3 linked regions of the Arabidopsis thaliana genome follow. The protein of the gene in region 3 interacts with the protein of the main gene of each other region in a pairwise test. Each region holds a gene or a part of one and is shown on either strand. Other genes may lie near its edges.

What was found.
Region 1: the proteins of AT2G21230 (region 3) and WAT1 interact in a protein complementation assay, tested with the Arabidopsis thaliana proteins (one large-scale study listed by BioGRID).
Region 2: the proteins of AT2G21230 (region 3) and GONST1 interact in a protein complementation assay, tested with the Arabidopsis thaliana proteins (one large-scale study listed by BioGRID).

What each region holds. Positions count from the first base shown.
Region 1 is NC_003070.9:28,336,878-28,342,167, forward strand, and holds WAT1 (Walls Are Thin 1), read right to left. Parts: upstream 3,399-5,290; 5' UTR 3,215-3,398; coding exon 3,000-3,214; intron 2,903-2,999; coding exon 2,840-2,902; intron 2,763-2,839; coding exon 2,646-2,762; intron 2,387-2,645; coding exon 1,966-2,386; intron 1,872-1,965; coding exon 1,720-1,871; intron 1,607-1,719; coding exon 1,405-1,606; 3' UTR 1,311-1,404; exon of another isoform or gene 905-1,310; 3' UTR 849-904; downstream 1-848. UniProt on the Arabidopsis thaliana protein: Required for secondary wall formation in fibers, especially in short days conditions. Promotes indole metabolism and transport (e.g. tryptophan, neoglucobrassicin and auxin (indole-3-acetic acid)). May prevent salicylic-acid (SA) accumulation.
Region 2 is NC_003071.7:5,686,724-5,693,023, forward strand, and holds GONST1 (golgi nucleotide sugar transporter 1), read right to left. Parts: upstream 4,049-6,300; 5' UTR 3,808-4,048; intron 3,595-3,807; 5' UTR 3,581-3,594; coding exon 3,231-3,580; exon of another isoform or gene 2,987-3,230; coding exon of another isoform or gene 2,904-2,986; coding exon 2,774-2,903; intron 2,267-2,773; coding exon 2,168-2,266; intron 1,620-2,167; coding exon 1,465-1,619; intron 1,383-1,464; coding exon 1,266-1,382; coding exon of another isoform or gene 1,262-1,265; exon of another isoform or gene 1,113-1,261; coding exon 1,015-1,112; intron 914-1,014; coding exon 861-913; 3' UTR 593-860; downstream 1-592. Other genes in the region: AT2G13640 (Transcription factor IIS family protein), read right to left, coding at 1-567; AT2G13660 (uncharacterized protein), read right to left, coding at 5,569-5,894, 5,959-6,166. UniProt on the Arabidopsis thaliana protein: Involved in the import of GDP-mannose from the cytoplasm into the Golgi lumen. Required for the luminal synthesis of a variety of plant cell surface components. Is required for the correct mannosylation of the glycosylinositol phosphoceramides (GIPC).
Region 3 is NC_003071.7:9,092,340-9,098,626, forward strand, and holds AT2G21230 (Basic-leucine zipper (bZIP) transcription factor family protein), read right to left. Parts: upstream 4,009-6,287; 5' UTR 3,878-4,008; exon of another isoform or gene 3,730-3,877; 5' UTR 3,721-3,729; coding exon 2,594-3,720; intron 2,511-2,593; coding exon 2,378-2,510; intron 2,305-2,377; coding exon 2,202-2,304; coding exon of another isoform or gene 2,182-2,201; exon of another isoform or gene 1,835-2,181; intron 1,796-1,834; coding exon 1,581-1,795; 3' UTR 1,580-1,580; exon of another isoform or gene 1,268-1,579; intron 1,081-1,267; 3' UTR 797-1,080; downstream 1-796. Other genes in the region: AT2G21235 (Basic-leucine zipper (bZIP) transcription factor family protein), read right to left, coding at 4,253-4,593, 4,900-4,984, 5,083-5,215, 5,335-6,287. UniProt on the Arabidopsis thaliana protein: Transcription factor that acts as a repressor of reproductive development, meristem size and plant growth. Acts as a transcriptional repressor in inflorescence tissues.

The sequences.
Region 1 (5,290 bases), on a different chromosome or scaffold from region 3:
CGAAGCTAAAAATGTGTCATGGGGAAAACTATTAAATCAAGTGCAATGTATCTGTATAAAGAAAACGGGATGTTACGTTGTGTGTAACGGTCAATGTGTAACTATTATATGTCTCTGTTTCTATGGGCTTTTAAGTCTTTGACTATTCTCTTGGTTTTCTTTGCATCTTCTTCTTAGCTTCTCTTTGTACTAACGTGTAATCCTCGCGAGTCTTGATAGACTATATGGCGTGGTTTATAACAAACCTGGCCCGTTTATTCCGGCCCAACATCATTATATCTCGGCTTATATATGGTCTCCAGTCTCCAATAACGGGCTATATATGATTTAACTAATGGATTCAAATACGAAATCTTGAATCCACATGGTAGACTAACCTATGCCAGATAACGATTATGAGACAAAGTCGCTTATGCACTGTGTTTTTCCTTATGTATATGAATTTCTTTTGTTAATGAAATTTATTTGTATAAGGTAAATAAGATATGAAATTCTGTTAATGAACTTCTTGTTTACATCAAATTAAAAGATGATATTTTATATGTAAAAAGCTGACGTGTAAGCTGATCCGAGAAAACCAAGAAAGATAATGTAGAGCATTGAAGTGTATATGTGAAATTTTTAACACGTTCTCCTTAAAATAATGCTTTTATCCGTCTATTTCAAACAAAATTCTAATATTGGACCAAAAATTATATATCGAACAACACATCTTTCTCAAGTTAGCTAAACTTTAATACCATGTTAAAATCTATGGACTTTCAACTCAAGAATTGGTCCATACTATAACTTAGTTGGTCCATATTATATTATATATATTAAATGTTGGTTTATTTTTAACTTGTTCATTCGGTTAAGAATTTTTATTGGATATTTGATAATAAACTAAATTTGTAAAAAAAAACTGTTTCTTTAAGAGATCATTTTAATCAAATACTAAAGATCTTTTTTTACTTCAGTTCAGAACAAAGCGTTTGATCTAATCCATTTTAAACATCCCCGACAGTGATAATTACTAAAGATCATAAATGCAAATTATAACATTCTATTGATGATAAAGGAAAGAAAAACCCCACAAGAAATGTAAGAAAAAATGGCACTAATATATCAGCCAGATATTATATATAGAAAAGTCTCAATCCAAAGCTCCCACATAGTCTTCTTCATCACTATCATCATCATCATCATCCTCATGAACAATGATGTCTCATCCACCATTTTTTTTCCTTTCTTCAAAAACCTTTCTTAGGTAATTAATAATTTTTTAGAAAAAAAAAAGAAGAGAAAACACTAAGAAAAAAAGCAGACACAAAAGTCATAAAACACAACGGCACACCATTGTTCCCTTTTAATTGGGTAATGGCATTTGTAATTATTAGCTGGAGAGTGATTTGTCCAAAGTAGTCAAACATTGTCCGTTGACTGATGGAGTAGTGGTGTTGTGATGGACGACTTGATGGAGTTGCGAGAAACAGGTGCACGTTCAATACCATGCTCCGCGGAGGACTGGATCGCTGCCTTCTCAAGCGCTGCAAATTTCCTCTCTTCGCTCTTACCGTACAATACGAAGTAAAGTCCCGCTATGATCAAGACCGCTCCAATAATCCTGCCATTAGAAATATGACATGTGGCACAACAAATTTTAAAATTATTCTTGTTTAGGACCTTGGATTTTATCAAGTATTTATATAAACCACTAATATTATTATAGTTTCATACCCGCCCAAATAAAATTCTTCGCCTAACGCAATAGAAGCCATGATCGCAACGACAAGAGTCTGAACAGGCTGGTAAACAGCAACGAAGACTGGACCCCCTCTGTCAATACACCAAATCTGAACCGCAAACGCGATTCCAGACGCTACGATTCCCTGAAGTTAAATCAATTCATTAGGACCAAATTGATTATTTTGAAACATTAGGGCCAAAAACGAATTAATTATAACAGATGAAAGAAAAACTAACGGCGTAGAGGATGGTGAAAAGCTCCCAACCGGAGTGAAAAACCCAAGCCTGAGAATCTCTTTCACAGAAAGCAGCAATGATCAAGAACTGAATGATTCCGAAGAAACAAGTGTAAGACGTAACCGAGAGCCTCGCTGGATAAGACTTAAGAACCGGAGCTTGGAAAACAAGCCAGCCTGACCACGAGAGACAGTGACCGATTAGGTAGATGCAACCAAGGGTCCAGTTTTTAGGCGCGGCGTTTCCTAGCGGCGCTAAGACGGCGGAGTTTGTGGTGAGTAGATGAGCGTGGAGGTGGCTAGCCGGAGTGTAGATGGTTGGACCTTTATAGAGGGTGATGACGGAAGCTCCGGCGACACAAAGAGCTGTTCCTAAGATTTTGGAGATACCGTCTCTTCTGTTTATTCTTACTTTCTCAATCCTGAATTATTGTTTTTTTCACATACAGTACATAAACAGTATGTTACATTGTTGTTACTACTATGATTATCACTATTTTGTAAGCAAATGGAAACGGCATTAAATATTGTCTACGTGTATTATTATCCGTTTCTTTTACGTTGAAAAGTCAAATGGACATTATTAAAGTGGTTCTTGTATATCCAAGCTGTCCAAAATATTGTTATTTATTTTTATAAATCAAAAGAGAATGAAAATGGAGAGATGTGTAGAGTAAGTGCCTGAGAAGAGCAGCCATGAGAAAGGTAATGGCGGGAACAGAGTTTTGCATGGAGGAAGCAAATGTTGGTGAAGTGTTGTCCAGTCCCAACAAGTAAAATCCTTGGTTCGCTGTTATTCTGTCGTGTAATAATTCATTAACTAATTATCCAAATTTGTTATTGAAAAGATCAGAGTGAAGGATATAAATATATACCCTATGAGTGCCAAAAAGAAGAACTGGATGAGAAAGTTGAGAGTAATCGCTGGTCTCTCCTTCCTAAATTAACACAATTAAGTTTGGTAATTAAATAACTAGCAACTAGAGAAAAAATAGGGTTTTCAAATAAAGAAGTGAAGTGAAAATAGAAGGTTACTTTTCAAGGAAGTAAGCGAAGGGAAGGAGAAGAAGCAAGGCGATGATGTTACGATAAACAGGGAAGACGAGTTTGCTGATTCCCATGTTAAGAGCAGCTCGAGACACCACGTGGAATCCGGCGTAACCGAATTGCAACGTCAGCATCGCTATGTGAAGCTGAAGCTTCTCCGGAACTCCCCATAAGGATCTCCGATTATCGGTGTTATCCGCCATTGGATCGAGCTTAACAATCGATCAACGAAGGAAAAAGGCTGTGTGTGTGTGTGTTTGTGTGTGTTGATTGAGGAAAAGAGTGAAGTTGCGGAGATATAAATATAGGTAGATAGCAATCTCATTCCCCTCTTTGCTTGTGGGAACCACCATACTGAGATTTCTAATATGGTATCTATTAAACCTAATTATAACAATGTGAAATATTGAAATATATATATATATATATATATATGGATTTAGGTATATTAATGAGTTTTTGTTGTTTCCTATCATTTGATGTACACACCAAATATTGTTACTTTGGTCTACTGGCAGCATTCACTCCTTGATTATGATTTTTGAATTGGGAAATAAAATTTTAATTTATATTATTATTTCTCTATTGGGTTATATCAAGTATGATAATAATATAGGTTACTTTTTGTTTTACTATTATTACGTTCATTATTATTTTGTTTACAAAGCACACACACAACATAAATATATTTCAGGGAAAATCGCAAAAGGAGAAAGAAAAACTCAACGTATGATAGTTTTACCTAAGAAATATGATTTCTTTTGAGATATTAAAATAAACGATTGTGTTTTCGGATTTTCTTGGAAAAAAAAGACTCTTGAATTGAAAACTATCATACACTATTCTACTTAGCCTTATTGGAAACTATGACCACGTAAACAAAGTCGGGTTAAACTTATAATCAAACACGTTCACATGCACTTACCGTTACCAAAACGAGATAATAAAGTGACAACGTCTCACTAAGTCACAACTTCACAAACATTTTGTGGATGTTGGTACATCTCATATGTTTTAAAATCAAAATTTGAAGACATTCCCAAAATTTTGGACACTATATTTAACATTTATCATCAGCTTTTGTTTCACAACATGATACATTGTTAGTTAATTATATGCTTTCAAAACAACCAACTTTTCATTTATTGATTTCTAACAAGAAGAAACGACTATGAAGCTGTTGGTTAAATCTAAATCGATTAAACAAAGGGCCCGCAAATTTTTAACTGTGTACTATAGTGTTTTTAGAAAATAAAGAAGAGAGCTTAAAAATGTGTAAAAGGGCAAAGCCTGTCTCCCACATTCTTTTATTTTTCTGCTGTTTAGCTGACATGACAACCCTCACGCCACTACTCATTAACGCAACCATCATTATGATTCTTAATTTTTTGTATATCTAAAATCATTTAATTCTGAAAATCAAAAAGGTAAAAATAACAATAGAAAAAGCACAAAATATATCATTATTTACGACTCTATTCCTCAATTTGCACTCACTATCGTAGACATTATAATGGTTTTAGTTTGTCCTTTCCTTTGATATTTATTGAGCAGCATGGCATTGCTACTAATTATTACTTGTACAGTATAGTCTTCAGGAGAATAACACTCTTAATTATAAATGTACGACATTTCGTTTTAACATCTTTTATTTACTTTCTTTTTTGGTAAATATATTTCTTGATTTTATTTATGTTACATAATTAATTTTGTAGGGACGAGCCCCACGCGCACTGCCGAACCGTGAGACCCACAGTACCTCTTATTTCGCAGGCACACCCACACGATCAATATTTATGTACACGCTTACACCAATATTATTATCTGTATTTGTCCTCAATTATTTTAGTTTTATTTTTCTTGTTAATTTATTTTAGTTCTATTTTTTTGTGCTCATCGAATAGACGTGTGTAATTGTTTTCCAATAGTCAAATACATTTGTATCCCTATAGAATAGAATCATCGAAAATTTTATGGTTGCTTGCTTGTATATGCTTTCATTTTTCTCTTTCTTTTTGTCTTGTTATTTTTGGAGAGATCGACAATGTAAACCCAGAGAAACCAATTTAGTAAATTGTACACAGAAACATGTGCATATCCACGTGAAAACAAACCAAATATGTATTTTTCTTTCCTTCCACGAATGTATCACGACAAAAGAAATATCATGGCAAAAATTGTTCATGGAATATTATTTTGTCACAAATCTGTTTTAGATAAACTATATGCAGCAACATGTAAAACATAACAAAATATAACAATATGGAATTTTCATTACT
Region 2 (6,300 bases), 3.4 Mb from region 3:
TGCTTTATTCTTCTCTGTTTCACGAGTTAATGATCTCTGATCTTCTTTCCTATTCAACTCCGAGAGTTTGATCGTTGTCTTACTCTCTACTGCTTCAACAGTCGTCTGAGATCTCTCGTCTTCTTTATTCTTCAACACCGAAAAGGCAGTGACTTGACGAGCCATAGTTCCCGGTTCTTCTTTCTTCTTCAACTCCGAACACATTTTTAGAACATGCTTCTTCATCTTCAGACGATCTTTGGTAAGAGCAGCTGTGAAAGAGTTGTCGCTTCCATGTGCGTAGAATGTCTTCAACCATGAATGAAACAAGGCTTGGGCTTCCTTACGGATTCTAGGGTTCCTATGACTTCTCAAAGTCTCCAGTTTAACTATTGATTCAGACAATCGTATATCCTTCACGGAAAGAGACAGAGACTTCAAGTGATTCAACACATCGATGCATCGCTCGACTTCGCATGGGTTCCGTGTATTGTAAGTAGCCTTAATTGCAGCAGCAGTCAAGTCGCATAAGTCAGATCTCTCCTTCGCAATTCTCACTCTCATCATCTTTCCGTCGTTCTTGATCATCAGGTGGCTAGGGTTTTCAGTTTATGTTGAAATCTCATACCATTGAATTTCTTTACTGGAAAATTGGTAAAAACGAAGAAACACATAAACCAACACTTCTCTTACCACTCAAGAATCGATACATTCATTAATATTTTACTAACATTATACAAGTAGAGTGGCGAAAGCTTTTACAAGAAACACATAACGTGCATAGAATTCTGAGGTTATAAACTCATTGCTCTGCTTTAATCAGCTTTTGCCATGTCCTATACTGATTGATGTAGTAAAATGTGTTGTAGATGGTTAGTATTTTAGGACTTCTCCCTCATTTTGGCTCTAGCAAATACAACTCCAGCGACAAGACCTGCAAATTAGGCCACCTCAGGTTTAATAATAATACACAACACAAGCGATATGTGTTCCTTCAAGAAGTTGGAAAAGGGAACTGATCGAGAGAACGCTTACCAAAGAGTATGCTTGCTGAGTTCTGCAAACTGGTCGGTACATTGAAAAGAACGATCCCCGCGATGGATAGAGGTATCTTGTTTAGAGATCCCACCAGGCTATGATTTTGAATAAAGCGAAAGATGTATCTAGTTAGGACTGAACCAACAAAGAAGCAAACATAGGAAAGGGATATATGGAGAAGGCTAGGGGACAGCAACACTCTCTTAAGCAAAGTTTTGAAATTGCTCTATCTCTCTCTAATTTGCTACCTGTATGTTGTTGCTCCAGTTTGATGAAGAAACCACATTGAAGTAAAGCTAATGGCAAGCCCTAGAAGTCCACTAAGTGTCATGACCATCCAGAAACTTGGTAATCGTAGAAGTGGCCTGCACAAATATAATACACCATTTTGTTTTCAGATGACACAAACCATTTTCCATTGACACAGAAATAAGGACAGGAACTCACGTTTGATAGAGATAATCCATCTCGTTGAAGAAATAAGAAAGAAGAAGCCCAAGTGGTAATGAAAGTGTGTTATTAAGCAAGACCATGGAGAACTCGTTCAAGTTTCCAGATTGAGTAACCTGCTTGGCCGTATCCATGGTCTTTCTCAAAGTCAGCTGCAAAACAACAAAATATAAGGCAAGTCAAAAGTGGTGGCAAATTTTATAAGAGTATAGTAGCCTAGCTAACAAGCCAAACACTTGGTTTTTGTTGACAGGATATAGGGATAAATTTATGGGAACCTAACAGTCTAACACTCTCGTTTTTTGACCCAGCAATGGAAAACCTAGTGAGAACTGAGAAGTTGATGGTGTCAATTTGCATTCTTTGCCCAAAGTCTTCTCTTTAACATGCTATTCCTACTTCTAACAACGAGTGAAGTACTCAGGTTACCAGTGACAATGGATTGCAAGCTATAAAATTTTCTAAGGTAACAGAATCTCGGTATCTCGTGAGCATCTTAAAACTCAAAAGCAAGCCAGTATCGTAATGATTATAGGGAAGGCTGTTTAGTTTATTGACTTAGTCTTAACCAAACAGCATGTAATACTCGACATGAAAGCATGGTTTTTAAGTGATCTCCTTTTCATATATGTGTTTATTGTTTCAAATGACTCCTAACATTTTGGGAAAAGAAAACACAAATGATCAAATGTTTACTCACCGAGTACGATGCAGTTAAGAAGCAATTAGCAATCTGCCAAGCATAGCCAACAGCATTGAATGATAGGTCTGTTATTCCTCCAGAAACTGCGGAAATTATCTGCAAATGAAGGACGAAAGAAGCACAGGTTAATCAAAACTTTATCCTCTACTTATTCAAGATCTATACAAAAACAAATAGAATATACATATAACAATGAGTAGCCGTGACAAAAAAACATGATTACATTTCCCTGGCAGACTAATTGTGGAAGCAGTTAAAAACATGTATCTCCAACAGTATTGAAAGGTTAGGCTATGCCACACCACTGAAAGCCGCTACGACAAGTGTAACTGTGTACGCACACAAAAGGGTGGATCACTTATCAATAAGAAGATATGCTTTAGACTTTATTGGTTAAGGTTGATGATCAGAGAGTGCTTTGAGAAAACAAGAGAAAACCAAATCCAAAACAGTATAGAATCGTTGTTTGACAAGGATATCTTTCAAAAACTCCAATCAAAATGCTATCTATGTGCAGCTTGAAATAGGTTCCTTGAGAATAGTTTTTTCTCAGGTACAATTTACAGAATCAGTTAGAAATACTTTTAAAGCAGACAAACATACCATTAAGAAGAGAGCAGCCCACACTCTGTTGTCATGTTGCTTGTTGAACAGATACATCTCACCAACTGCAGTTATCACATTAGTGACATTCTTCAGGACAGTGACCATTGCTACATTGATGTATTTCAAACTGTCAAAGAAAATGTAATTCAAATAGACAATCAAGTTCAATCTGCTCTTCAAACACCGCCTACATACACATATACGATACATATCTATATATCTCGACCTACTGTGAAGTAAATCCAAAATATCTATCTGTTTCACCTAAGTGTCTACACGTTATTTAATCCTCGATCTGCTGTAAAGATGATGTACAGATTCTTATAACTACCTTTAGTACTCCAAAAAGTTGACTTTACTAATTTAGTAATCTTATAGGCTTGAGAATTAAGAGAGCATCGATATATAATTCAACAAACCAACACAAAATAAAGGTGTAGAAACACATTCTTACCTAAACATGCTTGTGATAAGCATACCAACAAAGATGACATTCACTGGAAACCAGACCTTCATCAACCTCAAAGTAAGTGGTTCAGTAGTTATTAGACCCATTAAACTCAAACCAACCACAATGATCACCGAGACAAAGTTCTGGTATAACATAAGGAAGATCCCAGCATTGAAGTTGTAGCTGGAGAGAACAAACTTGTTGACAAGTATCATACTGCATGATGAAATGCAATAAGCTAAACCGGATAACAAAGCCCGGTTATGTATCTTTCTTGGAATTGGTTTATCTCCTCCGGATTTTACTGTCTTCCCATCTTCTAAATCAACTCCATCGTGTTCGTACAATTTCATTGCAAAGCTAAGACCTACCAAAGAAACTAACTTCTTTCAAGCTTATATAACTAGATCCATCATTCTTAACAATACACGCACAAAAAAAGTAACAGTTTTACATAAAAACCAATTCGGTTCCAATTCGCAGCTAAAATCAACTTAAGACGAGATTGGATCAAGCAGCAAAGTTGAGAGTAGCTACACAAGCGTTAATCGGAAGTTGTGTAGAGAATAACGAATTTTACCTCGAAGTTGTCCAAAAGCTCGCGAACTAAAGATTCAACTTCGGACGAGATCTAATTGATGACAAGTTACCGGAAAAAAAAAAAACTATGAATCGGAAGAAGAAGAAGAACATGAAACTTGCTCACGCGGAGGATCTTCGTCAGGTCGTGGTGGAGCTATCTGTGAAATGTTGTTTTGAAGAAACAATGGAAATTAGGAAACTGAAAAGACGAGGGAGAGAGATGGCATTGACCAGAAGAGAAAAAAAAAAAAAAAACTGACCAATTTTCGTTTCTTTCGTTTGTTTATTTATATTAAAATTAAGAGTTTCGTAAGTTAGAGGAAGTTCCATTATGTAAAACAAAATAAATTTTCTCAGTGGGTATTTCAAAATTGACAAACTCATCAACTACTCATGTCAAACATGTCTAAATGAATAAATAAAACTAGTATGTATTTCTTGAAATTAAAAATTATTCCAAAGCGAAAAATAGCCTTTTATCTATAAATACAGAATAATATTGATCATTTTTAAGACAATAAAACAGAATAATACTGATCATATACAAATAGGCCATATACAAATATGTCATAACTATACTAAAATTTAAGAAAATATTAGCTATTTAATACTATCAAACAAATCTCTTCATTGAGGTCATTCAACACAAACATTGTTATTTATAAAAAAAGAACACAAACTTTGTTTGGAGTAACTTTGACAGTTACACGTTAAATATGTTCTCTCCTAAGGTATTGAGCTTATGATGTTATTTTGTTAATTTTCATCATTTTATAGTTATTGGTTATTATATAAATCTCTTATATATTGAGAAGAAATAATAATATAAACATAAATTATCTAATTTAGTTATAATGGTTTGGTACCATATGGTCCAAATCACACAATATGTTGTACAATTTGCTTTTTTGGAAAAATGTCATTTAAATCAGTAGTTTACTATTTTTGTTGATTTAAACTATGAGTTCTGTATCTGGTAATTTAAATTCTCAATTTTTATGTTGATTTTCAATTTAATCACGAATTTTCGTTAATTAAGCAAATTGAGGCACAATTTTTTCTCTTTCGCACCATCAATCGACATAGAGATAAGAGATTATTTTGAATTTAAAGAAGAAGAAGGAATCAAAAAAAGGAAAGAATTCAAAAAAGAAAAGAGGGAAAAATGAAAATCGATTTTGGATTCTAGTGTTTATGATTTAAGAAATTTATAATGATGCGTCTTAATTAGTTTAATCAGTGAGAATTCGTATTTAAATTGATAGTCAGTGCAAAAGTGTACTACTGTTATGTGTCTCTAAACTTGGCAATTTGACACAAAATCTGAATGAATAAAAATAAAAGTTTGGCAATAATGGTCCATTTGCCTTTTTGCTTTGTACCATACCGTTGACCTTTCGGCTTAATTCTTTCCACCAGAAATTTTAGCCTATCTATTTTGACTCTTTGACACAGTCCACTTCTAAATCCACTAGCCATAGCCCAAGTTACTCGAGCACGTAAAATAAAATCCTTTAGGCCCAAAAGAACCAGTGTAGCCAAACGCATGACCATTTTGTTTTTTCCGTAACGCATGACAATTTTTATAACAAAAATATATTCACACTCTAATGTTAACGACACTCATCTTGTTCTTGAGAACAAATAGTTGAATATCATTTTCGTATTATAACATTTAATGAAAAGAGTTTTCTATCTCTTCTCTCTTTCATATCTTTTACAGAGAGGGAGCTCTGTTTTTCTTTTGTAATCTCCGTCTTCAATCAGAGCTTTTTGGTTTGTGTTTTAGATTTCCTGTTTTGATGCCGGTTTCTCTTTCCGACTTGTTCGGATTTACTTTCTTTCTTTCTCTTTTGGTTGCCTTTTGCAGGCTCAAATTAACTCTTCCAATTTCGGGAAGATGAAAATTCCAGAAGTCATCAAATGGATCCTTGTTCATTGAGTGCTTGATTCTTCTCCCAAGTGAAGGTAATTCCTTGCTCCGCCAAAAGGGCTTGTTTAGAGCATCGGTTCTCCTTGGTGGATTGATCAAGTTGATGCGGTTGATTGGGACGGAGTATGAAGAATTGGAGTCTTCGTCTTGTTCTGATGAATATTTCGGGCTAATCGGCTGAGGTTACAAATTCTCGTGATCAAGTTTAGGTCCAACCAATCTCTTCTGGTGATCTATGGCAAAAGGCGAGTAGGTACAATCGAAGGCAGAGATAGAGGTTTCTTGGAGGACTGAGTTGATCTGCCGGCTGGTGAAGGAAGTTTCCGGTGATGATGAGTCGGTGACAGCTGATGAAGGAAGTTTCCGGTGATGATGAGTCGGTGACGGCGAAACCTTTTTCTTCTCTCAACATCCCACATTGCATAACACGTATCTCTTTTTTATTTTTCTTATCTTGTGTTTTGCAATTAGTGGGCTAACTTTTGGCCATCTTCTGTACCGAATATCTGCCCATTTGGGCTTTTATAAAACATATTAGGCCGACAAAAAAGAAAAAAA
Region 3 (6,287 bases):
TTTCTGTTGGAGCCTTAAGAAATATAAGTATAATGAACTTGGTGGAATATGAATGAATGGACCAGAAGGAAAGCTGTAAAGGATGGGTGATAGCCAATTGGATGAGAGTAGCTATCGATTTTTTTGCAGAATCTATCGTTTTCGTCCCATTCCGTACACGTTTTTGTGTGTGCTTTTATTTTTGTTCTATTGATTTTCTTTTTGAAGGTGCACCAGTTCCCATATCAGTTGTTACTGACCAGATACCCTAATAACTATTGCGCCTTATTTTGTATCTAAATCTTGTGGACTTTGACTTCACATTGGGATAGTTATGTGATTTGGCAAATTAATTGAATTTTTATTACGTGGTTTGGCGAAATAAGAAACATTTTGAATGGTTTGACAAACATAACTTGTTAAAATTACCTTAAATAAAAAGAGTGCATTGATCATGTAACCCATGGTTTTGGTGATTGAAGCTTCTTGTAGCGTGTACACCTTTGCAGACCACTAGATGATCTTAGTGTTAACGATTTAAACATACTCAATCATTCAATGCTCCATTTGTGATGACAGAAGAATCATATCCATATTATTCAGATTCAGAATCAGAAGGAGAAGAAGATAGAGACGACGATTGGAGTTATGTGAAAGCAATGTGCATGTCATTTGTTTTGTTGGTCAACCTTAGATAATCTATTCGTTTATGCTCTTTTGATATGTACCCTTTTCATTTTACATATTTTAATAAAGTAAGTTTTGTTTCAAATCAACCTTTAGACGCTTAGAATTCAATATTTGATTGGCGAGAAGAATTCAATAATGACTACAAACATGGACTGTGAACATAAAGGCTATTAGAATATGTGAAAGAAGTTTGTAACCCCGAGAGACGAATACGATCAAGATATGTGAACTGATGTTTTGTAACCGCCTTTGAGCATCTTTACGTTCAGATGCTGGATTGGGTACAAGACCCCTTCCTATATATATGTGAACTGATTGGCATGTTCTTTTCGTTGAGCTTCTTCATCATTGTTTTCAACTTCATTTTCTTCACAATCCATTTTTTCAGAAAAGCAATGGGCCTGAAACTCTCTTTTGAAATTTATTTTATGTAAGCCATCACTCCCAGTTGTATCCAATCCATCATTCTATTTTACTTTAATAAGATTCAAGAACATGTTGAAAGATCCTACTGTAATAAAAATCCATAAAGACTACAGGAGGAGATGAAGCTGGAGAGAAGTAGTCTAAGCGAGAGAAGCAATTTCACAGCATTTGACTCTGTTAAAACGATTTAGATCCAGTAATATTTATAAACCTTAAAAATTGTCTCATAGATTATCCAAAATCCAAAGGGAAATAAAATCCTAACTGTGTAAATATATGACCAAAACAACATAAGATCACCTGGTCCAGAAAGAAAGTCCTCCATTACCACTATATATATGTGTGTATGTTTCAGGAAATATGATCAAATTTCCCGGACATAATCTTTATATATGTTTCTTTAAAACTTCCAAAAACAGAACTCTGCACAAAAGATTCTTATCATATATGTAACTAGACAACTGCGGATCGCAGTTTTACTTACCCTAGTCGTTTGAAGTGTGCTTTGCTTTCATTGTGCTACACTGATTGGAATGCTGCATCTGTTGGTGTTGTAACTGACTTATGCTAAGCTGCTGAAACATCTCCGGGTTTAGTGACATCTTTGATTCGCTGCTGCTGCTCCCACTTTGCCTGCGGTTCGGCTCCCCTATCACCAGTTTCAACCGCTGGACTTCTTCATTCAGTTTCTCTGACAGAGCTGCCAAACAAGGAATATCAAAATGTTACCTCTCTAGGAGAACTTACAAAAAATCAAGAAACGTGGTAGCTAAATTCTCCGGAGAGATCAAATCTTTTAATAGAGTAAGTTAAACAAGAGACATATTTAGCGGTAAGGATGGATAAAATTCGGGTGCAATCTTGCGGCCATGAGCTAAATAATCAAGGACAAGGTTCAGGTTTTTCCATACATAGAATACACAAACATTGTTCCTACTCAAGGCTGGGGAAACCGAAAAGGGAAAGTTCTTACGGTAGAAGAAAATCGTCTATGGAAAGTAAAACAAAGCATTCGGATAAGGACAAGACACTGACTTGGTTCCATCGAGTTCGAATACAAAACAATCCTAAAGCGACTCAGCAACCCTAATTTTGAGAATGAATACTTTTGATAATGTGCATACCATCGCGGAGTTGTGCTTGCTGCTCCATAGCTTGAAGACGAAACTTCAGCTCACTGTTCTGGTTTGTCAACCCCATAGAATCTCTCTGAGCCACCAAAGGAAACAATATAAGACTACAGACTTATTCAAACATGATAGTTTGTTGTTTTGTCTCGCACCTGCAAATGTGTGAGCTGAGCCGATAATGTAGTAGCTTCAGTCTGAAGTGTCTGCACCTTGTGTTCCAACTCTGCCATGTATCGCGTCTTCCGCTCCTTTGAACGTGCAGCAGATACGCGGTTCGCCAAGATTCTAACGAGATGGTTAAATCAAAACAGTCAAGTCACAACAACAACAACATCAAAATGTCTAATGAAGCATCACTATTTTATTACCTTTTAACACGCTTAGGGTCAGCCATTACAATCTCAGCGAGTTTCTCATCAGCTGCAATCTTCTTCATTTCAGCTGCAGTAAACTCACTGTTTCCAAATTCAACACTATAAGCACTTGAATTCCCTTCACCTGAATTGGTTGGGGAAACTTTAGCTGATGAAGAAGGCGGAAGCTTTAGCGATGATTCGTCGCCGAAATTCAACTTCCCCATGAAACAACTGTCCATAGAAACACTCCTGTAATGTCTACCAGTAGGAGCAATATCTCCACCTGCTCTTCTCTTCACGCCTGAAGAAGAAGAACTCAACGCAACCTTCACATTCCCACTCGCACTGCTATCTCCTTCAGAATCACTACTACTTCCACCATTCGTCTTCTTTGTACCACTACCTCTACTACTCTCCATCTCCTCCACATTCTCATTCCCATTCTTGCCATCTTCACCTCCAAAAGAATTCAAGACATCAATGTTATCAAGATTCATATAAGCCGTGAAAACATCGTCCATAGCTGCTTCAACCTCTGGTTTTCTTCCCTTGTAGAAGCCTTCTCTCGGTTCTTTCTTCACCAAATTAGACCAATCTGATGTATCTTCACCAGAGATCGATCTCTCCAAAGAACTCAAAGGAGGAGACTTTTGATTCTGAGACATCATTGAACTAAACCCAAAAGTAACATCACTATTCGAACGCCTATGCGACTTTCTCGGAGGTAGATTCTCTCCATCTCCGGCGTTCCTAGAGCTAGAAGAATGACACATCGTAAACGGTGACGGAGGCAACGAAGGACTAAATCCGGCACCGGTTTTCTCCTCCACCGACACCGAAACCGACGGAGCAGAAGGATTTAACGGCGGCAATGAATCAAAGGAGAAGAAAGAAGACGGTTGCGACATAGAGCGAGAATGTCTAGGTTGTAAAGTCGCCGGGATCTGAGAGTAAGGAGAAATGGGTGGAATCGGCGGTGGAGGAGCTCCGGTGAAAGGGTGACGGAAGTGATGGTGAGAGCGGATAAGAGCAGGATTCAAGTGAAGATTGTGTTTAGGGATCGAAGAAGACGATGTACCAGAAGAAGAATTAACTCTCTGCATCATATTGGTATCTGTTGTATCACCACCACCACCCATTTTGATTTTCTGAGATTCCGAACAAAAATAAAAGTCAGAAACTTTGAAGAAGAACCAAAACCCTAACTAAAGTTTGATCCTTTAGCTGGAGATTTCAACAATAATTGATTTCCCCCAAATAGAGAAGATAAATCTATTAGAAAGAAAGAAATTTGACCTGAAATGGGGAAGTGAATCTCTCTCTCTCTGTGTTTTCTTCAGCAATCAATGGCGAAAATAGCGAAAGAAGGAAGGAACTAAAAGAAAAAACGATTCTTTTGAAACGTTGACCAAAGCAGCAATCATCCACTGGTCGGAAAAGACTACTTTCGTCTAATTACATATAGAGTATGTTTATTTCTCTATCAAATTCAACAAATTTGATAAAATAAAAATTAATCTCAATAACAAAAAAATGAAAGAACAAAGCTTTAATGAAATAAACTAAACAAAAATATTAAAAAAAAATCATATTGTCTGAACCCTCTCACGGTTACAAATTTATAATCATATATAGATAAATCTAAAACAACTTGAAGACATGTTTAATCCTTTAGTTATGTCCATAAAATTCATGGTTTGGTTGCTCATGATTAAACTCGTTGACATTGCATTGCTCTTTGAATATGTTTGGGTCCAATTGCTGGTGCTGATTGAACTCATAGGTGTTGAGTTGCGGCTGGAACACGTTTTGGTCCGATTGATGCATGGTTGAACCCTCGAACTGGTTGGGATTTTTCATCCCCTGACCAGTTGCTACTTTAAATCGGTTGATTTCAGCAAGGAGCTCTTCACTTTGTTTCAGTTGTTTCAGTAGTTGAGAATAGTCGACACTCCCTCGTTCATTTGCCTCCTTTTCTAGCCTTCGGAGTTCATCTAATTGTTTAGTTAAAGCTACAAAAACAAAAAAAATGAAAGCTTATATATCTTCTTCAGTCACCGAGCATGGATATTTTTTCAAATAAAAAAACGATGGTACGATGAAGGATCTTGTTAGGAACCTCATATAAAAATGATTTACATACTAGTTAGACATCAAGTTTTCGATATAGCAGAAAAAAATAAACGTATTTCACAGTTGAAGATTTGGTAAAAACTTTGGTAAAAAAAAAAGGAAAAAAAAAGGAAAAAAAAAAAAAGATTTGGTAAAAACTCATTCAAAATTCTTTTTATGAAGAGAAATATGTGGCTAAAACGTACCAGTAAGAAGAGGGGCCTGTTGCTCTAGTAATTGAAGTCGAATCTTCGCTAACTTATTCTCGTTCATCATCACTATGTTTTCCTTCTGCATGCAACAACAATAGTTTTGTTTAAACAAATTCCCTATAGAAGAAACTTAGACATGACAAGTAGATGGTTGATATTGTGATATATATGTCTCACCTCCAAAAGTGTCATCGTTCCAAACAGTGAAGCTTGAGTGTTTTCAAGAGTTTCTACTCTGAGTTCCATATCACGAATCTTCTTTTCCCGATTCTCCTTAGAACGTGCAGCTGAGGCTCGGTTTGCCAACATTCTGAAAGAGCATCAATATGAATAAATAAATGTCAACAACCATACATCACAAAAGATAATAATAAAATATATTAAAGAAAAAATATTGTTCCCTAATATAAGTCACCCAGTCTTGCTTACCTTTTATATTTCTTAGCATCATTTGCACCTCCCGAATCAGTATTGGTTATCATCAAAACATCAGCATTCCGATTCTGATCACTATTGTTAACAGCACTTTGGTTAGGCATGATCATATACTCAGAGCAGAATTCCTTCATTGCTTCCTCATTATATATGAGCTTTCCAAATCCGCCTTCCTCGCCGCGGCTTGAGTCCCCAACCAACATACTTGATAGCTCACTGTTGGTCCTTTTATGATACTTTCTAGGCCTGCTACCGGAGACTTTCGCAGAGTTGGACCTCGTGACTGGAACCCGAGGCTGAGGATGCAACGGGGGACGGTTAGACATTTCCTCCAAATGTGCTGATGGAGATGGGTGACCCGGCGGAGATGATCTCACCATCGGATTAGAGGAGTAGACAGGCGCCGGCGGTAAGACCGAAAGCACAGGCGACCTATGAATCAACGACCCTTTTCCGCGGTTGGAGCGGGGAAATGAATCACGACCGAACAACGGCGGAGCAGAGCTGGCCGGTGCTATGGATGAGAACACAGGGGAAGGCTGAGGGATCGACCATGTTCCGGTGTTGGAGTGAGAAAATGAGTCTGGACCGAACGACGACAGAGCAGAACTGGCCGGTGCTATGGATGAGAACACAGGGGAAGGCTGAGGGATCGACCATGGTCCGGTGTTGGAGTGAGAAAACGAGTCTGGACTGAACGACGACGGAGTAGAGCATGATGAAGGACTCGTCTGGGGAAAGTAGAAGCTAGACGACGAAGCAGAGCTCACCGACGCCTTTGAGTTATGGGACGACGACGGCGTAGGAATCATTTGGTGAATGTTGGAGAAGCTAAACGAAGGTGTAAAGCTTGCCGGATTATTGAATGACGTCAGTGAAGGACTCGCTTGAGTGAAGTCGGAGAAGGTAGGGGACGGTTGAGTCGTACACCGTGGTCCGGGGCTGAA